Ovis aries: one gene and its partners. The protein of the gene in region 1 interacts with the protein of each later gene in a pairwise test. Links are inferred from orthologs where the notes say so. Each region holds a gene or a part of one and is shown on either strand. Other genes may lie near its edges. The genes, in order: TRIM54, LENG1, TBC1D22B, BYSL, RABGEF1, SPG21 and CDKN1A.

Region 1 (2,486 bases):
AAACCCAAACACTAAGAAGTTAAGTCACTGGACCAAAGTCACAGAGGAGGACAGAGCTGGGATTCAAACCTAGCAGCCTGGGTAAGCACATTCTACTACTTGTGATTCACCTCCAGTAGCCCAGCAACTTTCCCTCCCTCCCTTTCCAGGCTCACCTCGATGGTCTGGCACACCTCCTCCATCTGTGTGATCACTGCTTGCACACGGTCATTGCCGGCCACCAGCATCGCGATGCCATCGCTGAGCTCACTCTGCCACACACAGAGGCCAGCACTCAGGGCTGGAGGACCTGGTCTGGAGCTAAGCCCCTCCCTCCCTCACCAGGGCTACCCAGGAGAGGACTGTCCCCTCCACTCCACCATCAGGGCATCCTCAGGGAAACTCTGACAGAGATCTAGAGAGTTTGGAACCATTCAAGAAGTTTGGAAGCACAGTCTATAAATTCTGGAAGGAAGTGGAGAGAGGAAGTCCTCCACCACCAAGTGAGAAAGAGACATTCACCAAATATCCACCAAATACCACACACTGGGCTGCATGCTTTATCTTCCATCAATTTTGAAAAAGTCTTCAGGATTTTCCTTTAAGATAATATTGCCTCTTCTGCATTCTCTTTATTCTCTCATTCTGAGACTCTGATATCTAATCAGAGTACCTAATATATCTAGAGTATCAGATATATCTAATCATATATCTAATATGTTAGACCTTCTCATTCCCAACCTTCTCATCTCCCAGTGCTATATTCTAAGCTATTTTTTCAGTCCTCTCTTTCCCTTTTAAAATTCTTTTATGTGAAAAAAAAAATTTTTTTTTTCTGGCCATGCTGTGTGGCTTGTGGCATCTTAGTTCCCCAACTCAGGCCCTCGAGAGTGAAAGCACAGAGTGCTAACCACTGGACAGCCAGGGAATTCCCCAGTCCTCTCTTACTGAGAGAAAGTTGTCATTTAATTCATCCCTTGAATGTTTTGTTTTCTACAATTATATTTTCATTTCTAAAAGCTCTGTTTGGTTCTTCATCAAATCTGCACTTTTGATAGTCTATTATTGCTTATTTTCAAATTCCATTTTTTAAAGCATTTTATACAAAGCTGACTTTACATTCTTTAATAATTCCAGTATCTTAATTTCTTGAGGGCCTAAATCTGAAAGTTTTGTTTCTGCTGACTTCACTCATGAGTACATTTCTTTGTGTATCTTCAATCGGGAGCTCATCTTATGTTGATCTTAATCTAAGAAAAACCCAAGGCCTAAATTGAGGGTTTTTCCACCAGGCAGAATTTGCATTTGCTTTTGTCAAAAGCCAGGTGGCACAACTGCCCACTTTAGGGATTCCTGGGATTCCAGTGTATCCTGTGATCCTTGGGGGTCTTTGTTGTAGGTCCCCCAAGTTTCAGGAGTTTGTAGGCATAGTCTCATCTGTCTAGTTCAGTAATAATTTGCCCTGTGGGAAATCCTGCCTTTCCCATGCCTATCATATTCAGGGTTCTGTTCACATCTCTCTCCCCCTCCTTCTCTCCCTACCTCACCCACACTTGGAGCTTTCCTTTACTTTCTACCTGTCTATCAATTTAATTTTTATTTTATTTTTTCAATTATTTTTTTAAAATTAACTGATTAATTAATTTTTTTGGCCATACTGCATGGCATGTGGAATCTTGTTTCCCCAACCAGGGATTGAACCAGTGCCCCCTGCGTTGGAAGCTTAACCACCAGACCTCCAGAGGAGTCCCTTAATTTGTAAATAATGTTTTATGTAGAATCTACTTGTATGACAGTGTGATGGCCTTGAGAGTTCACCATACTGCATCCATTTCTCGTATGATCCTTACAACTCTCAAGTGTAAGCATTTTCATGCCCATTTTACAAGTGAGGAAGAATTTTAGGGCCAGAGAGGTCAAGTGACTTACCCAAGGTCACACAGTGAGCTGGGACTTCAGCCCTGATCTGCATGCCTTTGAAGTCAAGTGGAGTAAGAGGCTGCAGTTTGAGATCCCATCCTGTGTCCCCACCCCCACCCCCCCATGCTTGCTCCCTCTGCTGCTTGATACCTTCTGGCGTTTGTAAATGGTGGGCAGTGGGGCCACCTCACAGTCCTTGTGGGCACCAAAGACCTTGCAGAGAGAGCAGGTGGGCACTTCACAGCTCAGACAGTAAATGTTGATCTTCTCGTCTTCATGCTCCTCACACATGAGGTGCTGCTCAGCCTTGGAATGCAGTGGCCTGCGGGGAGGCAGGCAGTGTAGGAGCAGGGGTCAGGGGCCAGGCAGGTGGGGCAAGTGTGTGAGGCCCCCTGAGCGCTTTTTCTTCAGCCTCCACCAGCCACTGCCACCTTGTGCCCCGACAGCTGCTGCTGTGGCTGGGCAGGCAGATGACTTCCTCTTCACTTGAGGAACAGAGCTACATACAGGGTACAGGAGGCCCAGATCCAAGAGTAGTTTCTATTCCAGGGGGCAGGAAGTGCCACAGGGAGGGAGGTCATAGAGGG
Region 2 (3,953 bases), on another chromosome or scaffold:
AACTGCCTCAGATGGCCCAGAATTTTCTCTTCTTCCTGGGTACCCAGGCTTTTGCTGTGCCCCTTCTGCTGATCTCCAGGTGAGGGCGCTAGACTCCTGGGTCTGATTCTGAATGTCTGACCTGGGGTCCCGCTGCCTGCTTCCGAGAGAGAAGGGGGTTGGGGCCCAAACTCTTGGGTCTTCGGGAAGGAGGGGGCTGGGATGCTTCGACTCCTTGAGTCTGAAGGAGGAGGTCCAGACCCCTGCTTTCTAAAAAGCCCTACGTGGAAGATATTCTGAGAACGTTTGCGGAGTGGCTTCCACTTTATCTCCGCTAGCATCCTGATGGCGTATACAGTGGCCCTGGCTAACTCATATGGACGCCTCATCTCTGAACTCAAACGCCAGATACAGACGGTGAGCCAGGCCTGGCCCCTGGGAAGGGGTCCTGGAGAGTATGAAAAAGAACACAGGGGAGAGATGTGTCTCACCTCCCCTCTACCTTTCCCTCAGGAGGCGCAGAATAAAGTCTTCCTGGCACAGCGTGCTGTGGCGCTGAGCTCGGCCGACAGAACTCTTTGACCTCTCCAGCCTGGCTTGGGGTGACGTCCCACTTCCAGCCCCAGACCTGCTCCCAGATCCTTTTTGAGCTTCGTCAACATCATTTGGAAAATGAGTGAACTGGGGAAGACCCCGTGCTTTTCCAGCCCTGGGATTCCCTGCTGAGGCCCCGACCCTCCAGTGAACCTCTTTCTAGTACTGTATCAATGAATCTAGTACTGTGTCAATAAACACAGCGGAGGCCGCTGAGTGCTTTTTAATCTCCGGTCCAGAAGCTGGGGCAAGCCTTCACAGGACATAAACCAATCAAATGTGTGGCTCTGAGAGCGTGGCGGACTCTTCCGCGAGAGAGACCGCGCCAGCCAATCAGCGGCTGCGTTCAGGAGCCTCGGGGCGGGGACACGTGATTGAATCAGAGTCTTGGGGAGCGGCGGTCGCTAGGCGACGCCACGCGCGATTCTCGGAGACGGGGGACGTGGGCCCCGCAGCCAGTCACCTCTCGCTACAGCCCTGGGGGGTCGTGTCAGGCAGCGCAGAGCCAATCCGTGGCCGAGGAAGGAGCAACGGGGCGGGGCCTGCCTCTCGCCAATTGGAAGTGCCAGGAGGTGGGCCTGTCGGTCCGCGGACGGCTGAGGCGCCATGAATATTTTACCCAAGAAGAGCTGGCACGTCCGGAACAAGGACAATGTCGCCCGCGTGCGGCGTGACGAGGCCCGAGCCCGTGAGGAGGAGAAAGAGCGTGAGCGGAGGGCGCTGCTCGCTCAGCAGGAGGTGAGCCCCCGGCCCGGGCGGACGCGGCGCCGCGGCTCAGCGCGCAGGCGCCGGGGAGCGGGGCGGCGCCGGGGAGCGGGGCGGCGCCGGGGAGCGGGGCGGCGCCGGGGAGCGGGGCGGCGCCGGGGAGCGGGGCGGCGCCGGGGAGCGGGGCGGCGCCGGGGAGCGGGCCACCCTGGCGGACCTGGGGCCCGGCTCCCGGGCGGGCTGGGCCTGCGGGCCGTGCCGACGTTCCCCTCGACCTCTCCTTGGTCCTCCTGGAGGGCCGGAGTAGGGGGTCGTGAGTAATCGGAGCCCTGGGCAGTTCACGGAAGCTCGGGCCGCTTGTTACTTTAGCTGTACAAACACCCTGTGCAGTGAGCTCTTGCTGTCCCCTGGCGGCTCAGACAGTAAAGAGTCTGCCTACAGTGCGGGAGACCCGGGTTCGACCCCAGGGTCGGGAAGATCCCCTGGAGAAGGAAATGGCGATCCGCTCCAGTATTCTTGCCTGGAGAATCCCCTGGATGAAGGAGCCTGGTGGGCTACATACCATGGGGTCTCAAGGAGTCGGAAACGACTGAGCGACTTCAGTTTCGCTTTCCCCTGTTCATCCCGTGCAAAGCGCTTGATTTGCAGTCTCTCGAGCCCTGTTCGTTCTTAGCGGGGCGGTTATCTCCCTTCGGCGGAGAAGTGAGATGGCTTCAGAGGAGCCACAGCGAAGCGACAGTGTCTCAAGCCAGTCCCGCTGCGCCAGGCGTGCCTTTTGCCTGCACCGCTGCGCACAAACGTTAGAGAGTCTCTCTAACTCCTCACCTGTTTGGTTTACACCTAGCTTCCAGTCCTTTGACTAATCCGATCGTCAGCACTGGCTGGGAGGTAGTCAGGGTTTTTAAAGCTCACCTTTATCGGACTTCCCTAGTGGCCCAGTGGCGTCCAATGCAGGGGCCCCAGATTCAGTCCTTGATCAGAGAACTAGATCGCACATGCTATAAAACTAGATCTGATGCAGCCAAAGCAATATTTTTTAAGTTCACGGTTATCAATAGAAATTGGAAATCAAATGGGCATAATGACTCAGCGCCCTTCCTGGAATTCAGATCACCTGTCCTAATAGATGTTTTGGCTGCCTTTATAGCTGTTTTCATTGTGTCAGAAATGAAACCCCCTCGTTTACTGTTTGGAAGATGGCTTACAAACCATGCCTTGCCTCACTGCTCCACCCTCTCCCCAGGAATAGTCAGGTGCCTCTTCTGGGTTCCCAGTGCCCCTGCTCCCTTCCTTCGAGCCCTTACCACTGCAGTGGTCAGCACTAGGCTCAAGAGTCCCTTGGGCTACAGCTAGGTTCTGAATGTTCTGCCTGTAACTTTTTTTCCCTCCAGGCCCGCACAGAATTCCTACGGAAGAAAGCCAGGCATCAGAACTCACTTCCTGCACTGGAAGCAGAAACGGGAGCCCCATGCAGTTCTGGCCCTGTGGATCTGTTTCGGGAGCTGCTGGAAGAAGGCAAGGGGGCGACGAGAGGCAATAAAGAGTACGAGGAAGAGAAGCGACAGGAGAAAGTAAGGTGGCCTTACCCTCTTCCTCGGGTCACGGGTGGAGCCAGGGGTGGGGGTGTACCTTGCCCTCAGGTGTGATTACGGGAATATTTAGGGAGATGGTGGGGATTAAACAAGCTAGAGAACTCAGAATAGTATTAGAACATAGCATGTTAAGAGGTGTTGATTATTGCCGGGTGCTAGGTAGACCCCCTCAGGTCTCTAACCTGATGTGCAAACCTTGAAGATGTTGGGAAGTGTTAAGCTTCTTAAAATGTAAATCAGACGCTGTCCCTCACTTGCCCTCGGGGTTTCCTATCAGACTGCCTCCCCGCCCCTCCCCCCTCAGTCACTGCTTTACCTGGCTGGCTTCACAGTTTCTTTTCTATCTCCTCAAAGATGCTGCCTTTGAACCCTAACATAAGCAGTCCCCTCCTTCCTATGCTGTTTGTTGCTGAAGCTGTCCTGGTGCCCCAGAGCAGGGGCACCCCGGGGACTCATCTCTGAAGTCCCAGCAGCTGGCAGAGTCGGCTCCTGACGGGCTCTGCTGGCTGAATGTCTGGTTCTGCCTCTGCGGGAACCCTGGCTGCCTGAGAGGGAACATGCTTCCTGTTCTCACTTTCACATCTTGTCTCCCTCAGGAGAGGCAAGAGAAAGCCCTGGGCATCCTAACATACCTGGGACAGAGTGCAGCGGAAGCCCAGACTCAGCCCCCATGGTACCAGCTGCCCCCTAGGCCGGGCGGCCCCGCCTCTGGTCCTGGGCCCGACGAGAGGATCAAGAGCCGCCTGGACCCGCTGCGGGAGATGCAGAAGCACTTGGGGAAGAAGAGAAAGCACAGTGGAGACAGTGGTGGTCACAGCACAAAGGAAAAGAAGGCGCCTGAGAAACAGCGACCCAAAGAGTAAGGAGCCTCTTTGGCCAAGTGGGCACCACGGGCGCTCTGGCTGAGGCAGGGGCTCTGGGGTCTGCAAGGTCAGGCCCATTTTCGTAACACCGTTGAACGTTTTCAGCCTTGTTCCGGGGTCTGCAGAGACTACATGGTATTTATTACAAGGCCACTGCCCTGGTGGCTGGTGGGCCATCTGCTTGCTCTTGTTCACGTTGTATACATTAGATTCTGGACAG
Region 3 (3,500 bases), on another chromosome or scaffold:
CCCAAGAAAAGTTCCAGGTTGGGATAAAAAGAAAGCAATAGATTTTCCCTCTGAAGTCACAAAAATTTGTCAGATTTGCTGCAGTAGCTGGAGTCTCTGCGCAGAAGGTGCCTTGGTATGTATGATAAACACGCAGCCCTTCCCCTGAGTGAACAGAGGGCGGCTGGGTTTCCACCCACTGGCTGGCGGCCTCGCCCTGGGCAACCTGGCAGCCGCGGCTGTGGAGGAGCCCCATGCCCAGCAGTCAGGTCTAAGTGTCTCTGGATCTGTGCTCGTCACACAGCCTGTCCTCTTTCTCTTTCAAACGACCCCTCAGGTGACTCATGCCTGAGGAACCCGCTCCACAAACAGCAGTCACTCCCTCTCCGACCCGTCATCCCGCTCGTTGCCCGCATCTCAGACCAGAACGCTTCTGGGGCGCCCCCGATGACCGTCCGGGAGAAAACCCGCCTGGAAAAGTTCCGTCAGCTTCTCTCCAGCCACAACACTGACCTGGGTGAGTACCGCAACCCCCCCGCCCCGCCCCGCCCCCGTGAGCCCTGGGCAAGCAGACCTCTCGGTGACTGGAATTCTCAGAGACCCGGAAGCTACTGCTCTTTATTCTTCCTTCTTTTACTTTTCCAGCATCTCCTGATCTGGTGCCCACTGAAGTGACACGCAGGTATCACAGTCAGACATACGTTAACTAGAAATCAGGGGCCAACTTAGGCGGGACTGGACTCCGTGGCCTGTAGAGCCTAGTGCACCATTGGCTTCGGTCTCCTCTACCTCCATGCGATTCCTCCTGAAATCCACACCTCCTGGTCTTCCTCCTCCCTCTAACTCTAACCTCTGAGCTGACTGGATCACTGCTGCAGAGCTATGACCTTGGCTGCTCAGGGCTGTTGTTTTGGGCTTTTCACCCATGCTTGTCGGTAGCTGGCGGTGGTGGTGGCAGTGGCGATGGCGGTCATCCTCCTGAAACGCTGGGGGGCACCAGGCAGCACTGGCTGAGGCTCGTTTCAGGGCACCCACGGGAAGGACTAAGTCCAACCACACCTTCATCTTTTTGCAGATGAACTGAGGAAGTGTAGCTGGCCGGGGGTTCCCAGGGAGGTTCGGCCTGTAACCTGGAGACTCCTGTCGGTGAGTTCTGCCCCCTGGGTAGAGAAGTGCAAGCCTCACACGGCCCTGCCTGCCTGCGGTGGCTGGTCTGGGGACGTCAGTCTTGCCCTGTAGACTTCTCTGGTCGGACCCGATATGGGACTGAAATCCTGTCTCTGCATAAAGAATCACACCCTCGAGAGTTTGTCCCTACTCTTGTAGAAGAGCGTAGGTTTGTGTGGATAGTCCCGATCTTGCCTTCTCAGCACCCAGAAGGAGTACAGTGAGGCTGGGTGAGCCAGCTCTCCTGTGGGCAGGTCCCACTTTCCTTGTGCTTCCCTCCTTTCTCAGTAGGAATGACTAAGGGGGTTGAAACCCACTTCCCAACTGTGAAGAGTTGATAAACGGGCCTCCCTCAGAAGCCTGCTCTCGTCCCACGCTCACTAAGTCACAGAGCCCTGTGCCAGCCGCTGTGGTAGGAACACTTTGATCTCCTGAGCCCGTAAAATCCATTCATTCATAAGGATTTATTGAGGGCAAGCTGTTTACCGGGCACGATGCCAGGTGCTGTAAGGATGCACAGAGGTGGGCCCAGCACAATTTCGGCTCGCCAGGCGCTTGCTCGCTCTGTGGACGTGTCCCTTCCCTTCCTGCGAGAGGATGACAATTGCTTCTAATCGGCCCCCACCCCCGACTCTCATAGCCGTGGAGTCACTGCCCCTGCTCCTTCTAAGAAGTCCAGATGCTATTAGAAGTAGCTGCAGTGAGAATGGAAGGGGAACAAGAGATGTCAGAATTGAGAGTGGGATCTAGACCAGGGGTGGCCCGGAGCTGGGGCCAGGAGCGAGGTGCTGCTGCCAGAAGGTCTATGTCTGGACGTTGCAGCTGCTGGGTCACAGATTCCATTCAGCCTCCTAAGCTGGTAATTCTCAACATTACTGCGGGAAAGAATTATGTAACTAGCGCAGGCTCACACGGCATGCCACTAAGATGCGCCGTGGAGGCGGCCACCTCTCCGTGACCCTGGGAAGGATTGCCTTGCACACACGCAGCCCCAGGAGTCCTGACTTGGGTCCAGTTCCCTCCCGCTGACCTACATTTGCTGCTCTACTGTGCCAAGCCTGGAGCTCTGCACTGCTCCCCAGCAGGATCTGCGCCCAGGGCTGCAGGAGTACATAACCCCGAGAAACCCGGCTGGGCTTCATCTGCCCACACGTGCGTCTCATTGAATGAGGACAGGGCAAACCCTGGGTGGCCAAAACCAAAAAGGGATTTACCCTTGTCTTCTTGGCAGCTTTCTTTCCCTTCCTTTGAAAGTTTCAAAGCCACTGTTGAGGCTAAAATAAAAGTTAAGAATTCATCCAGCCAGTGCCTGTCCCCATCTGACAAGCGGTCCTGTCTACAGGGTTATCTCCCGGCAAACACTGAGAGGAGGAAGCTGACCTTGCAGCGGAAGCGGGAGGAGTACTTTGGCTTCATTGAACAGTATTACGACTCTCGAAATGAGGAACATCACCAGGATACCTACAGGCAGGTACGCCATCACCTGCTGCCCTTTTGCCCACTAGTCGTAATCTTCAGCTGCGGCTCCTGGAAGTGCTCTTGGGGTACAGGTTTGCCAAGTCTTCAGGCTGTTGTGGTTAGGAATTAAATTTATTCCCAGAACTACCTCCTTTCTTTCTAATTCAGTAGCTCTGATTTTAGCCTTCTTTTCTTTTTGACTGTGCTACACGGCGTGTGAGATCTTAGTCCCCCAACCAGGGATCAAACCCACGCAGCGGAAGCATGGGGTCTTGACCGTTGGATCGCCACGGAAGTCCCTAGACATTTTCAATAGATAGATTTTGGGGGGTCCCTGGTCAGGAGCAGTGCATTTGGACTTTAACATGTATAGAAATCTCCCAGGATTTTGATAAAATTCCAACTCGGGATTATGGTAAAATGCAGATTCTTATTCAGGAGATCTGCGGTGAGCCCTTGGCTTCCGGTGAGCTCCCAGGCGATGCCAGCGCTGCTGGTCCACCGACGACCCTTGTGAATAGGGTGGTGGGACACAAGATGAAGAGTGGGTCCGCTCAGTGAGCCCACCCCTCTGGCCTGTGACAGCAGTGTGTCCTTCTGACAGCTGCAGTGCCTCTTTGGCTTGTGTGTCTGTCTGTTGGGGCGATAGCCATCAGCAGCCTTAGCCGGGAGAGCCCTGCCATCGCCCACAGTGGTCCACACCGCGGTGGAAAGGTGGAGGGTGTGAAAAGGAGCCTGATGGTTGCAGAGGGGAAGATACTGGGAGCGCGCAGCTGTCTGCAACAGGCCCCAGGAGCAGAAGTAGCTTCAGGTGCTGCTGAGACAGTCCTTAGGGCTGTTGCTGTCGTTGAGTCCCTCAGTCGTGTCCCCGACTCTTTGCGACCCCATGGACTGTA
Region 4 (4,006 bases), on another chromosome or scaffold:
TCAGCTCTTCGCATCAGGTGGCCAAAGTACTGGAGCTTCAGCTTCAGCACCAGTCCTTCCAGTGAATATTCAGGACTGATCTCTTTTAGAACTAGCTGGTTTGACCCGGATGGAGAGAAGAGGGCAAAGGGAAAGGAGCAGGAGAGGTCAGACTGACAACAGGTACAGATCATATAGGTCTCTGTAGATCAGGCAATCCTGAGTTGCTGAGTGGAGAGTAGACTGTGGCAGATACGGGATTCTCGGTAAGAGGCTACTGCAGTCACCCAGGTGAGAGATCACTGTGGTTTGAACAGGATGGTGTTCCAAGATGGTGCCAACTGATCTGATTCTGGATATATTTTTAAGGCAGAGTCAACAGGACTTCCTAATTGATTGGATATGGAGCGAGAAAGAGACAAGTCTAGAGTTTTCTGCCTGGAGCAAATGGAAGGACATCATGTCATTAATTGAGATGAAGCAGACTGGGAGTGGAGCAGGTTTGGCAAGATGGTCAGGATTTCTGTTCTGGACATGCTAAATCTGAGATGTTTCTTAGACTTCAAATTGGAGAAGCTAAAGAGAGAGCTGAAATATAAGACTTTGGGTTTCATGGAAGAGATCGAGGCTGGAATATGAACTTGGAAGCAGTTACCAAACAGACAGTATTTAAACCTCAACCCTGATGACAGCACCAGGGAAGTCATCAGAGGTGAAGAGACTAGCTCCAAGGATGTAATGCTGTGGCACTACAGGAAGAGGCTGGCAACAAACGAGAAGTCAGCAAAGGGAGCTCCCTGGTGGCCTAGTGTAAGGATTCTGGGCTTTCACTGCTGGGGCTCAGGGTTCAACCCCTGGTAGGGGAACTGAGATCCCACCAGCAGGCGTCGGAAGCGGGAGAATAGGAGCCAGCAAAGGATACTGAGAGGTGTGTGCGTGTACTCAGTCGTGTCTGACTCTTTGTGACCCTGTGGACTTTTCCTGACTATAGCCTGTCAGGCTCCCCTGTCCATGGGATTCTCCAGGTAAGAATACTGGAGTGGGTTGCCATTTCCTTCTCCAGGGGATCTTCCTGGCTCAGGGATTGAACCAACATCTCTTGCATTGGCAGGTGGGTTCCACCACCTGGGAAGCCCACTGAGGTGAAAAACTAGCAAAACAGGGATGTGATGTCTTAGAAGCGGAGTAAAGATACTGTAGCAAGGAGGCTAGTGTTTGTGAACGCTGCTGCTGCTAAGTCGCTTCAGTCGTGTCTGACTCTGTGCGACCCCACAGACGGCAGCCCACCAGGCTCCCCCACCCCTGGGATTCTCCAGGCAAAAACACTGGACTGGGTTGCCATTTGCTTGTCCAATGCATGAAAGTGAAAAGTGAAAGTGAAGTCGCTCAGCCGTGTCCGACTCTTAGAGACCCCATGGACTGCAGCCCACCAGGCTCCTCCGTCCATGGGATTTTCCAGGCAAGAGTACTGGAGTGGGCTGTCATTGCCTTCTCCGTTTGTGAATGCTGCTCACAGACAAATGAAAGATGAGTGTTGAGAAATGGATTAAGCAACTTGGAGGTCAACACTCTCAGAGTAATAACGAGAAAAATGACCATCTTTTAAATAATCTCGCTCCCTTTCTAGTCCTGAAACAATATTGTTCTTTGTGCTCAGAGCACTCCCTACTTTTCAGTTCTCAGCACAACGGTCATGCAACCTGGGAAACCTGACTCCCAAGACTAATGCTATTGTCAGAGAAGCTATACTTTATCACGAGTGCATTATTCTAATTGCTTACTTAATTCTTTCTCTCGGGCTACACTGGAAGATCCTGACGTTAGGTATACCTTTACCCTGTTTACAGTTTTTTATCTAAACCATCTAAACTCCTAGCACGGCGGGATGTGCGTAGTAGACATTCCATGATTACTTACAAAACACGTAAATAAATGCCAGGAGAACTTAGCGGCGTGAGTAACCACTTCCTGCTGGCCTAACCTCGGTGATGCCTATAAGAGTGCCACTCTAAGGAATGGGCGTGGAGGGCTCCGGCAACCCTCAATCTGCCCCAGAGCTGGGTCTCCCAACCCCATTACCTTTGCCAAGGGCCTCAGTTTTTTGTTGTTGTTGTTTTTTAATTCCAAGTTATTCCCCTGCCAGACACCTTTCAGCCGTCCGCCCCAGCTACCCACCCTCCTCCTCGTACCCCATCCCCCCCACTCACCCAGCCGCGTGGTGCGCTCCCGCGGCACCGCGGGCCTGTCCCCGCTCCCATGCTCGGCCTCGAGCTCCTCTTGCTGCTGCCGCGCTTGCTGCAAAATCCGTCGGGTCAGCCGGGGCCCCACGTACTCTTCCTCCTCGTCTCCGGTTCCGCGACCCCGCCGTTTTTCTCGGGCTCCTGCCCGCACCGCGTCACCAGCCAGGATCTGCTCGGCCAGCGGCGCATGCTTCTCCTGACCCCCGGCCGAGCGGGCCGCCTTGAACTTGGGCATTTTTCTAGAAAACCAAGCCGTGAAGTTTCCCACGTGGGTATGGAGGAAAAAAAGGCCCCGAGTGCGCTTGCGCGGTAAACACCCAGCGCCCGAGAGCCCACCGGAGCTCACAGCGCCCCCTCGCGTCTGGAGGCCGGGTGTGCCAGAAGCCCCGTCCCACCCCCCCCCCCCCCCAAAAAGAGCTCACGGGTCCTGGAGCTGGGTCCTCCCGAATTTAACGTTGTCTTCTCTAAGTGGTTGTAGTCCGAGATACACTTTCCTAGTTTCATGGATCTGGGTCCAGGGTGCCCAGGCGAATGGGAATTCCCTGACCGGCGAACCAGGGGATCGGGGGCGGGGCGGAGTCGGGCAGTGACCTCACCGAAGGACCCAGACACGCCCTTCCTCGTGGGCGTGTCGACTGGACGCTGTGTTTTTACGTAAGTTCCGGAGCGCCTGCCTCCATTGGAGCTCGCTTTAGCGAGGTGGTTTCTCCTCTTGTGGGCTGCTGGAGCACAGCGCATTTCACTTGTTTGATCCTCCCATCTTCCTGGCACGACACCATGGGAGTGACTTGGTAGGACTTCAGAGGACTTTGTGGGGCGGGGTTTGGGGACTTGAAGGCCCCTGGAGCCTCGAATATACCCGGGAGGAGGATCCCGACCAGGGTCCACAGTCCCCCGGAAGATGAGCAAAATGTCCTCGGATTGTGTAAGTGAGGGGGCCACCGCGAGGGCTGCAGAATCTGCAGGCCCCTTTCCTCGGAGATTCGCCCCTTCTTCCTGGAAGGCGGCAGGAAAAAGGGTTTAAGAACCCGTTAATGATCGTGTACCTCCTTCCTTTTTTCTTGATACAATTTCTTGACCGTGAAGCCTGGGGTAGAACTTTAGGGTTGAAAGTAGTATGTCGGGACTCGGACCCGTCTGCAGGCAGGGCTTGGATGGGTAGGGGATAGGCAACAAGGAGATAGTATCTTTTTTAGGTTTTTGCCTGCCCCTCCTTACAGCCACTAAATGCAGTTAGATCAGCATGTGTCTGGTTCTAGTTTGGCCTTTGTAAGATCTTGAGTCTGGAGGGAAAAAAGGAGCTGTTGGGAATTAGGAGATAGGAATTACAGGCACATCACCTCTTCAGGGTCTGTTTCCTATTCTGTTTAATTACCTGGTTGGTTTAGTTTTTATGGACTTATTTTAACACGTTATAAGTCAGTGTGGCAGGGAAAGGTATGGGCTTAATTCTCTTCGAGTCATTTAGTTCCAAAATGCTAGATTTCAGAGCTTTAAAATATATATATCTTGAGCATCTCTCCCAGAGAGGGCTTAGAGGCCAGGTTATCTGAAGGCAATGGCTCTAGGCTTCTCATGTAAGAGCCTGTGGGAATTCCTGGTAGCCCAGGTCTTGCAGATTTGTCAGTGACTGCACATTTGCTTCCTGAAGCTGGCATCATGAGCCTCCTTCAAAGTCCTGTAGTGTAAGAAGGGTGCGAAGAATGGGAATGAAAAGTTTGCTAGGGTCTTTCATGACAGTCCAGTGGTTAACATTCCACGCTTCCACTGCAGGAGGCACCTTCTAC
Region 5 (3,500 bases), on another chromosome or scaffold:
ATCTGAGTGAAATGTCACCTCTGTCAACTGACAGCCCAGAGCTGTGTGACCCTAGAAAAGTTACCTAAGCCCTCTGCGGTTCCCACATTTGTAAAATGAGGGAAATACCACCCAGATTTATTGTGAGAATTAAACAACATAGCACATGTCTCACAGGTCTGTAGTAAGCAATGAATAAATGGTAGCAATTATTAGCACAGAAATGCTGGGGGAAATGCTGAGTGACACAGACATCTTAGTTATACCCTCAACTAATTTTTTCTAGAAGAAGCACATACCATTTTCATACTTTTTTTTTTAATAAAGTATTTTCATGAGGAAAACATGAAAAACATCACAGGAGAAAATAGACAGCTCTCAGGATTTCTTTTCAGAAATTTGTTCACAGGATCTTACCTTGTTATTCATAAAAAAGCGAATCTCCTTAAAGAAGATTTAGCAAATCTATTTCAACAGCCTCATCTGACAAGAACGTGCCTGTCTGACCCTTACCCACCGGCTTACACTATGTGTGTGGAATCAGTGCAGCCTAGTTTCTGGAAAGAAGAGGCCTCTAAGATGGTTCTGACATTCCTGGTCTAGGCGAGCAGACACACAGTACTGCCTCTAATGGAAACAGTACATAATGGAAAAGAAAGAAACATATTATGGTGAAGTGGCTTCAGTTTTGAACAGATTAAGTCTGAAGCATAATAAATTAGCTGGGAAGCTCAGAGTGAGGTCAAAACAGGTGACCTGCAGGTTATCATTACAGGTGACCAGCAGCGCTAGGACCAGAGGAGACGGTCTAGGGAGAGAGATGCACGGAGGACAGAGCCCCCAGGGAGTGACACATTCAAGGGGACAAGGAGGACACCAGGCCCACAAAGAGCCCAGGGAGATGGAGGGGAATCGTGGACGCTGAGGCACACGAGAAGTTCCAGAAGGAAGGCGTCACCAGGAGTGTTAAAGGAGTGAAGTGAAGCAGAGTTCCTAAGGCATGTGGCAACTGGCCAATTTTTTACTTTTGCCACAGCGGTTGCACTGGGGCTGTGACTCTGAGTCTGGCAAGAAGAGAATGAAGAAAAAAGATGTGCACACAGTTAAGGCTGTGGGTCAGGGGGCCAGGAAGAGCTACAGAATGCAGGCGATTCAAGGATCCGTCTTTTTAGACAATTTACCAGAAATGCTTCCTTATGTAACCTGGCCTCCCCTCCCTACTTAACACCCTGAACAGCTTCCAGCACAGGAAACAAAGAACATAAGGTGTCTTGAGGCTGAAATTCATGAATGAGACAATAAATCTAGTCTAACGCAAACAAGGAAAAGTCCAGCGGTCAGTAAAAGGAAGTATGTGGCTTCAGGCCTTAGATGTGTGTACCTCACAACTGTCCCGCCTAGTGTTAATTAGTACTGTAAAAAAACAAGAGCTGAAAATCACTGCACACCCTCTATGCATCAGCATCTCAGTATTCAGTTTTAAGAGGGAATTTGTAGAAATGAAACAAAAAATAAACATTAAGTCTTTTAATAAAGGAATCAGCCCAAGATCTCATTTATTCATGGTTAAAACAACCAAGTAAATGAGCGGCTCTTACAGCCGGGACTCCGGGGAGCGACAGCCAACAGCACCAAAGACCCTCAACGCGGCCATCGTGTGTCCTGTAGGGGAACCACAATGGCTAAGTCCTGGGAGGTGGTATGTGTGCCTGGCCTGGTCACATGTGCTCTGTGATACCAAGCAAACATCCTCAGCTATGCTGACCCCTCAACTCCAGAGCACGAACACGTCACAGGCCTGTGAGAGCCCTGTCACATCCTTAAAATGAATACCTCTGGGTTCCTCTCCACAACACCAGCAAGTCAAGTCCTTACCAGATTGGTGAAATAGTAGCCATCCTCGCCCGTCATCAGTCGGCTTGGGTTGCAGAAGCGGGTGATGTACTGGATGTTGGACTGAAGGCGTGGGGGGTTGCCCTTCAAGACAATGTAGATGAGTGTGGGTAAGAAGTCATCGGCTGAAGCCGGCTCGTTCTTGGTGATCTTGATGGCATTGAAGATGTGCTTGCTGCACTTGGTGATGCAGGCCAACTTATCCCGGGGCACGCGCTTCGAATCCATCTCAATGATATCTACAAAGGAGAAGAGGTGCTGCTTCCAGTGAGGAGACAGTTACATCAAAGAGGCGTCGGGATCATCGTATTTCGTCTCTTAAGTTACAGAGGTGCCCTCGCTAACCCCTTCTCCACTAGTTAACTTAGCGTATGAGAAAGCCTGCAACAACCGCAGACATTAGCTCACACTTGGGCACAGGTGCCCATCAGCCAGGCCCTATACTGCGTGCTCTACAAGCATAATCTCTCCATCCCCAGGGTATGCACGTGCACTATTAAGGGAGCTGAGGTTCAGAGAGGGTCAATGATTTGCCCAAGATTATACAATAAAAAGGCTCAGAGCACGGATCTGAAGCCAAGCCTATCTAAGTCTAAAGCGCATTCTTTAAGTCATGATGTAAAATGCTTATGAGCTCCCCAGAGAAATAAGCAGAGTTTTTGTTCCTTGTAAATACATCGTAAAACTCAGTTCAGAAGGCCTCATTTGCATACAGCTTTTTAGAAGTGCGGCTATTTTACAAGGCATCTCTGAGCTGGTTATCAAAGTGCAAGCGGCTGAAATCCATCACACAGAGGTCCACAGTGGCCAATCCTCGTGGCATATAAATCTCCCACTAGCAACAAGTATCTAATAAGAACTTTATGACACTTATAACCTGCTGGGTAGCAGAGGGGATGAGCATAGGTATTATTTAATCTCATAAACAATACTTTATTTCTCTCAGAAGCAAAATTATTTCACTGCCCTTCACTACCAAGAAGTCCAACTAGCAGGCTCTTATAAGTTCACATTCTCTGTCACAAGGACTAGGAGGCAATGAGGAATGATCAAGTTTGAACTCTGCACTGTCAGAACCACACAAAAGGAGGGCAGGTGGGTGCCTCTGGACAGATACACCTCCCTACAGTCTAGAACACCATGAAAGAAAAGAGCTGAAGTGGTTTGACACCAATTTCTTGCCATTAGCAGAAATAAAAGTTTCAGATTTAGGTGGTTCGGTGGTACATGCCAGAGTTTTTTTTCTGCTCTCAGCTCTCATCCCCGGGGTCAGCTACCTGGCGAAGTTCTCACAGGACTACCAGCCATGGAAGGCTAACGTGTGGGAGACAGGAACACTACACAGTGCTGAGACCTTGTTTTAATTTACTCATACTTCCCCCGCCACTACTTACCTGTCTACTGTATGAATTATATAATTGTTTTATTGTTTAAATTTTTAATTCTGGGTTTTAATTACTGTTACTATGTCTCAGCCTATTTATTTTTCTTTTTCTATTTAAATACAACTTATTAACAAAAAGATTTGGGGGAATGTCCACATATATATATATATATATATATATATATATATATGTAATTTTTTTTAACCATTTTCACCCTATTTAGCATTCTGCCTTTTACTGTTG
Region 6 (3,500 bases), on another chromosome or scaffold:
ATGACCAAGTGGCTAACATACTTTCACTTGCGATTTGATGACTATCTTTAGTGTTTTGTTTGGATCAATTTTTCTTTTCTATGTGTATCTATTGTAGATTTTTGGTTTGCAGTTACCATGAGGTTTTGATATAGCGTGCTCTCTCTCGCTCTCTCTCTTTCTCTCTGTCTCTCTCTGTACATACATACACACACACACACACACACACACACACACACACACACACTATTGTTCTAAGTGCTGGTCTCTTAATTTCAAATGCATTTCTAATGTCTTGCATTGTAATTCTTGCTATTTGGAAAGGAAATTGATGTGAATTGAAATTGTTGTATATGTAGTATCACTAGAGTGTGATTTTTATTTTTATTTTTTAATTGTTCTGTTAGATAAAATTGGAATTTTGAAGTCTAGGATAAGATGAGAGCTTATTTTCCCATGTTTTGAAAAAGGAGCAGAGATTGAGCAAATGAGAAACACTGTTGTGAGAGCCCTAAAGTTTTCAGATACGTATGAATTGTATTTTACTTTTACAGTTTTTAAAATAAATTTAAAACTTGTTATATTCTAGTTGCAGTATCCAGTTTATTGGGACCACCTTGAATTCTGTGATGGATTCAGAAAACTTTTAGACCATTTACAGTTGGATAAAGTGAGTACCTTAAAACTAGTTACTCACATGTGATTTTATTTATTTATTTTATTTATTTTTTTCACATGTGATTTTAATGCAATGATTACATCATTGTCTGGTGTTGTCTTTTATTTTTTAATAACAGCTCTTTTGAGCTAGAATTCACATACCATACAGTTTACCTTTTTAAAGTGTATAATTCACTGTTATTTAATATATTCAGAGATATGTGCAATCATCACAGCAGTCAATTTTTGAATATTTTTTCCACCCCAAAAAGAAACCCCATACTTAGCAGACACTACCCTGCTTCCTCCCTGGAGCCCTGTCTGTGGATTTGCCTGTTATGGATATTTTATATAAATATAAAGATGTAATTTGTGGTCTTTTGTGACTGGCTTTTTTCACTTCTCACGAGATTTTCAAGGTTCATCGATGTTGCAAATTCTATCAATAATTCATTCCTTTTAATTGTTAAATAAAATCCCATTGTATGGATAAAACACATTTTATTTACCCATTCATCACTTGATTTGTTTTCCACTGGTTAGTTTTTATGAGGGATGTTGCTATGAACATTCTTACACAAATTTCTGTGAAGACAGATGTTTTCAGTTCTCTTGAATACATGTCTAGGAGTGGAAATACTGAATTACCGAATTAAAATTTCTGTTTTCTTAAACAGAAACTGCAAAGTAGTTTCATTTTCTAATGTAATCTGGAAATAATATTTTTTTTAACTACTATAACTTATGCACCATTGTATTGTTTCTTGACAGGGTATAGACATTGCATTTAAACACAGTATTTCCTAAACTTCTAACTGCTGTAAATATTTCAGTCTAATGACTGGTGATAACATTATATTCTGTGGTTGGTGATAATTAAAACAGTTTTTTGATACTTAAAGATCAGTCATTGTTTTTAGGATCCTTGTGTTTGTTTCCGATTAGGTTCATCTCTTTGGGGCTTCTTTGGGAGGCTTTTTGGCCCAAAAGTTTGCTGAATACACTCACAAATCTCCCAGAGTCCACTCCCTCATCCTCTGCAATTCCTTCAGTGACACCTCTATCTTTAACCAAACATGGACCGCAAACAGGTAAGAATGTAAACCTTCGACCAACAGTTTTGTTATTTTCAGTGGAATTGAAAATGGTGATGTTTGGTTTTTTTGAAGCATTAGGGAGGGAGGGGCCATATATACTTTTGTCTTCTGAAACCATCCTGGCTTTTAGCATTAGAAATGGTCACCCTTGCAAAGGAAAAGAATTGAAAGAATTCTAACTTCAGTGGTTCCCGTTACTCTAAATCATCGCCTGGCTTTGTGTATTATGGTTCCAATGCCTTTACAGTTTCCCTTCAGAGCTTATCTCACTGATACTGTGTTCTGCTTGCTCCACTTAGTATTTTGTGTACAGAGTTCTGTGTAATGACTGTTACATTTTTTTTAAGACCTTGGGCTTCTCTCAATTTTTCATCAGGTTCAACTGTAAATCTTTGTGTGTAAATTACTTTTGTTCTTCTCTTTCTGGGTCATTTCCTTGAGATAGGTTCCCCGAAATGGAGAGACTGTTTAGTTCGCTGGCACTTGTACAACATTAGTCTGCTTTTTAGAAAGATGGAGAGGGCAGAATGTTTTGCAAGGCAACCAGTGGGGTACCTGCTTTCTCTGAGCCATCCCTTCATTGATTTTATCATTTGAATTAGTTTTATAGATGTCTAATGGTACCTTAAAGCTGACTTCACTATATTTCTTTCATTGCTAGCAAGGCTAGGCTCTACCCCCCAAAAGTAGCCTATTGACTTAACTTACCTGAGTGATCAGATTGGTTTTCACAAAATGTTCTAGGTAAACATTGTTTTCATGGTTTTCACAACTATTTACTATTGCATTCTGATTTTTAAAAAAATGTTTCCTGATGTTTTCTCGCTTGTTTACTCAGCATTTGTGCAGCAGTTTCTTGTATGCATTAGACAGATACTTCATGTCAATATGATGCAAAAATCGTTCTTTTTGACGAGTTTTTCATGTTGTTTTGATTGTCAGAAGCCAAGATTTCCCCCACTTGGTGCTCTTGCGTATCAGGAATTTTTTTATCAAATGTCTGAGTACTTACTATGTGCCACACAGAGGCTTCAGGGGTGAACAGAGCCAAGAGGATGACCACCCCTCCCACTCACCCACAGAAAACACCCAGGCAGCATCCCCTTTAGAAGTTAAGAAGCTGTTGGGATGGGTTGGAGTTGAGAACTTAGATCATTGAAGGTGACTGAAAGATGGCTAACTGGTCCTTATGAGGGGCGTTTACTGAGAATGTACATCAGAAGGTGGTCTGTACCTTTTATAAGTTATTTTCAGCATAGGTTTAAAAAAATTCATGTTTATCCTATATAAGGGCTCCCAATGTAATTAATGGAGTACACTCTTAACTAAAGATCACATATAGAAATACATGAAGACTGAATTGCCTTGAATTAGCCCAAGAATCCACTAGTAGCAATAGTAGGTATAATAACTCTGTGATTTTACTATTTTGAAATCTATCCTTTAATGTTAATCAAAGGGTGATATAAACCTTCAGATTAATATAGTAAGTGTTCAGTTTTCCACAAGTAGCTTAGCCATTGAAAATAAGACCAACTAGAAAATAAAATCTTGGAATTATCAGAATGTTTATTGCAATAAAGGCATTTTGAAATATTGCTTATAATTATTCCCAATCCTCAAAAGTTTGATCATATGAAACCATAACTCTTTGGGAACTTGAGAAAGCATTTATAAAAACTAGATGCTTCAAAACTAGCTCTTTGAAGGAAGAGACTGGGTTTTTTAAATCTCTAAATCCCAAATGCCTAGTTAATACAGAGA
Region 7 (3,721 bases), on another chromosome or scaffold:
ACTGCAGCCTACCAGGCTGCTCCGCCCATGGGATTTTCCAGGCAAGAACACTGGAGTGGGTTGCCATTTCCTTCTCCAATGCATGAAAGTGAAAAGTGAAAGTGAAGTTGCTCAGTCGTGTCCAGCTCTTAGCGACCCCATGGACTGCAGCCTACCAGGCTGCTCCGCCCATGGGATTTTCCAGGCAAGAGTGCTGGAGTGGGGTGCCATTGCCTTCTCCGAGCAAAGAATGAGGAGGGTTTAAATAACGGTTCATATAATAAAAATACCTAGCAATCTAATAAGCCTATTTTTTCTGCTAATTTTTTTCTTTTTTAAATAATTCCAGAGGCTGGGGGTGTGGGAAGGGTGGCAGCAAGCAGGGTATGTACAAGAGGAGGCGTTTAAATTAAAACACAAATAATAATTAAGACGCACAAACTGAAGGACCAAGGCAAAAGGTACAGAAGAGGCCTGCAGTGGGCCCCTGTTTCCACGAGGACGTGCTTCCAGCAGCGGGGTTAGGGCTTCCTCTTGGAGCAGATCAGCCTGCGTTTGGAGTGGTAGAAATCTGGGGGGAGAGAACAGATGTCAGCCAGGTCAGGAGGAAGAGGGCCCAGCAGAGCCACCTGCGCAGTGCAACCTGCAGAGGGGCCAGGGACCCCTCCCCAGGGCCCGAGAGACACATTGCCAAGTATAGGGAAGAACTCTGGAAACTTCTAGCCTCTCTCCCGGAGGGCTACATACATACAGGACATCCCCCCACGCTTCACAGACGTGATCAATAACAGACTTTACATGCATGGGCCTGCTTTAAGCCAAGCTGCCCAAATGCAGTGGTCGCTAACCCTAGGCGGCTGTTTAAATTAACTAGCATTAGACTAATAGAAAAATTTAGTTCCTCATGGCAAACACTCAGCAGTGATATGTGGCCAGCGGTACTGGGCATCTGCTTCTTTGCAGAGCCTGATATATCAGAGAGCGTTCTGCATGATGTCTGAGCCATATAAAGGTTAGTTATTATTATTATCATTATTGTTAGTTTTGACCCAGCTGCAAATGTGCTGTGGGATTCTTGGCTGCACTGCTCCAAGCTTCCATTTCCTCACCTATAAAATGAGGATAACGCTGGTACGATGCTCAGAGGATTAAATGAAATGTTTCCGGAAAGACCTTGGTGGGGACTTCCCTGGTGGTCCAGTGGCTAAGACTCCTTGCGCTCAACAGAGGTGGCCTGGGTTCTGTCCTTGCTCAGGGAATTAAGATCCCACAAGCCGTACAGCCAAAATAATAACAGTAATACATTTGTAAAGTAAAAAATAAAAAGACGTTGGCTGAAGGCCTGGCATAGTGTTCAACTGCCAGCCTCACTTATTCCATTTCCCTCAAGCACCTACTATGTGTCACACACCATCCAAGGTGCTGAGGACTCAATTATGAACAAGAGAGATACAGATTTCTTTCTTGTGGAGATGATAGGATTCTATTTGGGAAGATGGACTATATCAAAATATGGAAGTAGCTGTTGATAGTTTAAAAAGTGCCAAAAAGAGAAAAATAGGCTAGGAAGTGCAGGTGAAGGTGTGTATGTATGAAGGGGAAGGCGAGTTAGGTTTGGATAAGGCAGCCAGGAAATTATCATTCATTTACTCTCCATGGTAAATTCAGTGTGGGACCTAAGGCAAACCATTCTACCTCTCAGAGTCCTGTTCCTTTGCCTGTAAAAGGATGCCAAGAATGTCCTATGATATTAGATCACTATAAGGACTAAAAGAAATCTAGACACTTATCAAAGGTCCTGGCACATAGTCAATGTTCCAAATAAATGTCAGCTAATTGGTCTTGGTAGTAGACTTGCTGTGTGACCTCAGGCAAGCCACTTCCCCTCTCTGGGCCTGTTTCCCACCCCTCAGAGCGATGAGTAAGCTGGGCCAGACAGGTCAGCCCTGGCACAGTGAGTTCTGGGAGTCCTAATCCCTTGCCGCCACCTCTGCTCCCGTCCTCACCTGTCATGCTGGTCTGGCGCCGTTTCCGGCCCTGGGAGGGACCAGGCCCACCAGGGGTCCCCTCGGGCCGCTCAGGGGAGCGAGTCACGAGGGTGCAGGACAGCGACAGGTCCAAGTGGTCCTCCTGAGACGTGCCCTGCAGCAGGGCGGATGAGGGGCTCGGCCGCTTGCCCCCTCCCACATCGTCTCGGGGCCCCACGGGCAGGTAGAGCTTGGGCAGGCCGAGGCCCCTCACACGCTCCCAGGCAAAGTCCCCCTCCAGGGGCGTCTCGGTGACAAAGTCGAAGTTCCATCGCTCTCGGGCCTCCTGCACGCAGCTGGCCATGAGGGCGTCGCAGTCCTGGCGCAGCTGCTCGCTGTCCACTGGACCAAAGAGGCAGCGGCAGGCCTTGCTGCTGCGGGGGATCTGATGCGCGTCCCTGGACGGCTCAGACATGGCACCTGTGGCTGGAACACAAGGAAGACCCGGGGCACGTGAGACACTCAGGAAGTCGGACGCTCCCTCTCTGGGCCATGCCACTGCGTAACCTCAGGCGCAGTCTCCTTACTAGAAAGTGAGGTGAGAGGGGCTCTCGGGTTCCTCCCACAGGCTCTCCCAACCTCCACCCACAGAAAGGGTGTGAGGGGCAGAGTCAGTCAGCCTGACACCCCCAGGTCACTGGGGGAGTGGGCAGCTGAAGGGCAAGTTTATGTCAACAAAGGCAAGTTTATTGCAATAGCAGGGATCAGGGTCCTGTTTACCACTGGGTGTTATCAGCTAAAATCAATTTGTTTTTCCCACTGAGGTGTCCCTCATGGGTGTGAATGCCCCCAGGTATGTGTGAATTGTCAGAGTCCAGCAGTTTCCTAACTCCAGGCCTGGCCGGGGAGGTCAATTCCCAAGAAAATGGATGCCTCCTCTCAAATCCCTCCATCTAGATGCTCATGTGGAGTAATCCTGCTCAGTGACTTAAAACTACTCTGGATTTTGGGGTTAAAAGCACCTGGGTTCTAGTCCTCGCTCTGCCACTTCCTACCTCAACTTTCAAAGAGTCACTTCAAGTCCCCCGGCCTCAGTTTCCTCATCTGTAAAATGGGACTGCATACATGTCTAAAGAGTGGGGCTGTAGACGCAGGCTCAAGGAAATGATTGGCGGGCCCCGCCAGGCAAGGCAGATGGAGCAGAGTTCAACGGCTGTATCTTGGTGGTTCAAGGTGAGGGCTTTGGAACCAGGCCACTTGGGTTGGAATCCAGGCTCTGCTGGGCAACCTTCGACAAGTGGCTTAACTTCTCTGGGTTCTGTTTTCCTCCTGTATAAGATGGAGATTTCCATGTGTAGAGTTGTCTCTTGTGTATGTTGGACGAGGGTGTTTGCTGTAACTAGTGCGTTCCCTTGGCAAAACTCCATTTGCCCTGCTTCACTTTGTACTCCAAGGCTAAACTTGCCTGTAACTCCAGGTACCTCCTGAGTTCCTACTTTTACATTCCAGTCGCCTATGATGAAAGGGACATCTATTTCTGGTGTCATTTCTAGAAGGAGATAACAACAGCGACTGTCTCAGAGGCCAGATGTGAGAATTCGCTAAGCGGTTGTAGATAACGCCCTCTGAGCCGTACCAAGTACAGAGAAAGTGTTTGGAGAATATTATTTCTCTCTGCCTTTAGTTCTGGCTGACTCCTCCCCATCACTCCACCTGGGCCACCGCCTCCTTCAGACAGCAGCTGACAGGTGTTGTGGGCTGAGGGCCTTTCCCAA

What was found.
Region 2: the proteins of TRIM54 (region 1) and LENG1 interact in binary tests that used the Homo sapiens proteins (3 or more experiments, as listed by UniProt). The two-hybrid records come from large-scale screens. The link is inferred for Ovis aries from reciprocal best matches to the Homo sapiens genes TRIM54 and LENG1.
Region 3: the proteins of TRIM54 (region 1) and TBC1D22B interact in binary tests that used the Homo sapiens proteins (3 or more experiments, as listed by UniProt). The link is inferred for Ovis aries from reciprocal best matches to the Homo sapiens genes TRIM54 and TBC1D22B.
Region 4: the proteins of TRIM54 (region 1) and BYSL interact in binary tests that used the Homo sapiens proteins (3 or more experiments, as listed by UniProt). The two-hybrid records come from large-scale screens. The link is inferred for Ovis aries from reciprocal best matches to the Homo sapiens genes TRIM54 and BYSL.
Region 5: the proteins of TRIM54 (region 1) and RABGEF1 interact in binary tests that used the Homo sapiens proteins (3 or more experiments, as listed by UniProt). The two-hybrid records come from large-scale screens. The link is inferred for Ovis aries from reciprocal best matches to the Homo sapiens genes TRIM54 and RABGEF1.
Region 6: the proteins of TRIM54 (region 1) and SPG21 interact in binary tests that used the Homo sapiens proteins (3 or more experiments, as listed by UniProt). The two-hybrid records come from large-scale screens. The link is inferred for Ovis aries from reciprocal best matches to the Homo sapiens genes TRIM54 and SPG21.
Region 7: the proteins of TRIM54 (region 1) and CDKN1A interact in binary tests that used the Homo sapiens proteins (3 or more experiments, as listed by UniProt). The two-hybrid records come from large-scale screens. The link is inferred for Ovis aries from reciprocal best matches to the Homo sapiens genes TRIM54 and CDKN1A.

Annotation. Positions count from the first base shown.
Region 1 is NC_056056.1:34,378,236-34,380,721, reverse strand, and holds part of TRIM54 (tripartite motif-containing protein 54), read right to left. Parts: intron 2,222-2,486; coding exon 2,050-2,221; intron 252-2,049; coding exon 156-251; intron 1-155. UniProt on the Homo sapiens protein: May bind and stabilize microtubules during myotubes formation.
Region 2 is NC_056067.1:63,980,935-63,984,887, forward strand, and holds the start of LENG1 (leukocyte receptor cluster member 1), read left to right. Parts: upstream 1-1,153; 5' UTR 1,154-1,179; coding exon 1,180-1,311; intron 1,312-2,669; coding exon 2,670-2,849; intron 2,850-3,466; coding exon 3,467-3,729; intron 3,730-3,953. Other genes in the region: TMC4 (transmembrane channel-like protein 4), read left to right, coding at 1-79, 318-396, 493-561.
Region 3 is NC_056073.1:11,238,766-11,242,265, forward strand, and holds part of TBC1D22B (TBC1 domain family member 22B), read left to right. Parts: intron 1-316; coding exon 317-496; intron 497-569; exon of another isoform or gene 570-1,054; coding exon 1,055-1,125; exon of another isoform or gene 1,126-2,488; coding exon 2,489-2,617; exon of another isoform or gene 2,618-3,500. UniProt on the Homo sapiens protein: May act as a GTPase-activating protein for Rab family protein(s).
Region 4 is NC_056073.1:15,721,280-15,725,285, reverse strand, and holds the start of BYSL (bystin), read right to left. Parts: upstream 2,801-4,006; 5' UTR 2,642-2,800; intron 2,459-2,641; 5' UTR 2,455-2,458; coding exon 2,187-2,454; intron 1-2,186. Other genes in the region: MED20 (mediator of RNA polymerase II transcription subunit 20), read left to right, coding at 2,997-3,010. UniProt on the Homo sapiens protein: Required for processing of 20S pre-rRNA precursor and biogenesis of 40S ribosomal subunits. May be required for trophinin-dependent regulation of cell adhesion during implantation of human embryos.
Region 5 is NC_056077.1:28,736,183-28,739,682, reverse strand, and holds part of RABGEF1 (rab5 GDP/GTP exchange factor), read right to left. Parts: intron 2,112-3,500; coding exon 1,855-2,111; intron 1-1,854. UniProt on the Homo sapiens protein: Rab effector protein acting as linker between gamma-adaptin, RAB4A or RAB5A. Involved in endocytic membrane fusion and membrane trafficking of recycling endosomes. Stimulates nucleotide exchange on RAB5A. Can act as a ubiquitin ligase.
Region 6 is NC_056060.1:11,887,484-11,890,983, reverse strand, and holds part of SPG21 (maspardin), read left to right. Parts: intron 1-568; coding exon 569-649; intron 650-1,584; coding exon 1,585-1,730; intron 1,731-3,500. UniProt on the Homo sapiens protein: May play a role as a negative regulatory factor in CD4-dependent T-cell activation.
Region 7 is NC_056073.1:10,679,776-10,683,496, reverse strand, and holds CDKN1A (cyclin-dependent kinase inhibitor 1), read right to left. Parts: upstream 2,422-3,721; coding exon 1,986-2,421; coding exon of another isoform or gene 1,789-1,985; exon of another isoform or gene 551-1,788; coding exon 501-550; downstream 1-500. UniProt on the Homo sapiens protein: Plays an important role in controlling cell cycle progression and DNA damage-induced G2 arrest. Involved in p53/TP53 mediated inhibition of cellular proliferation in response to DNA damage.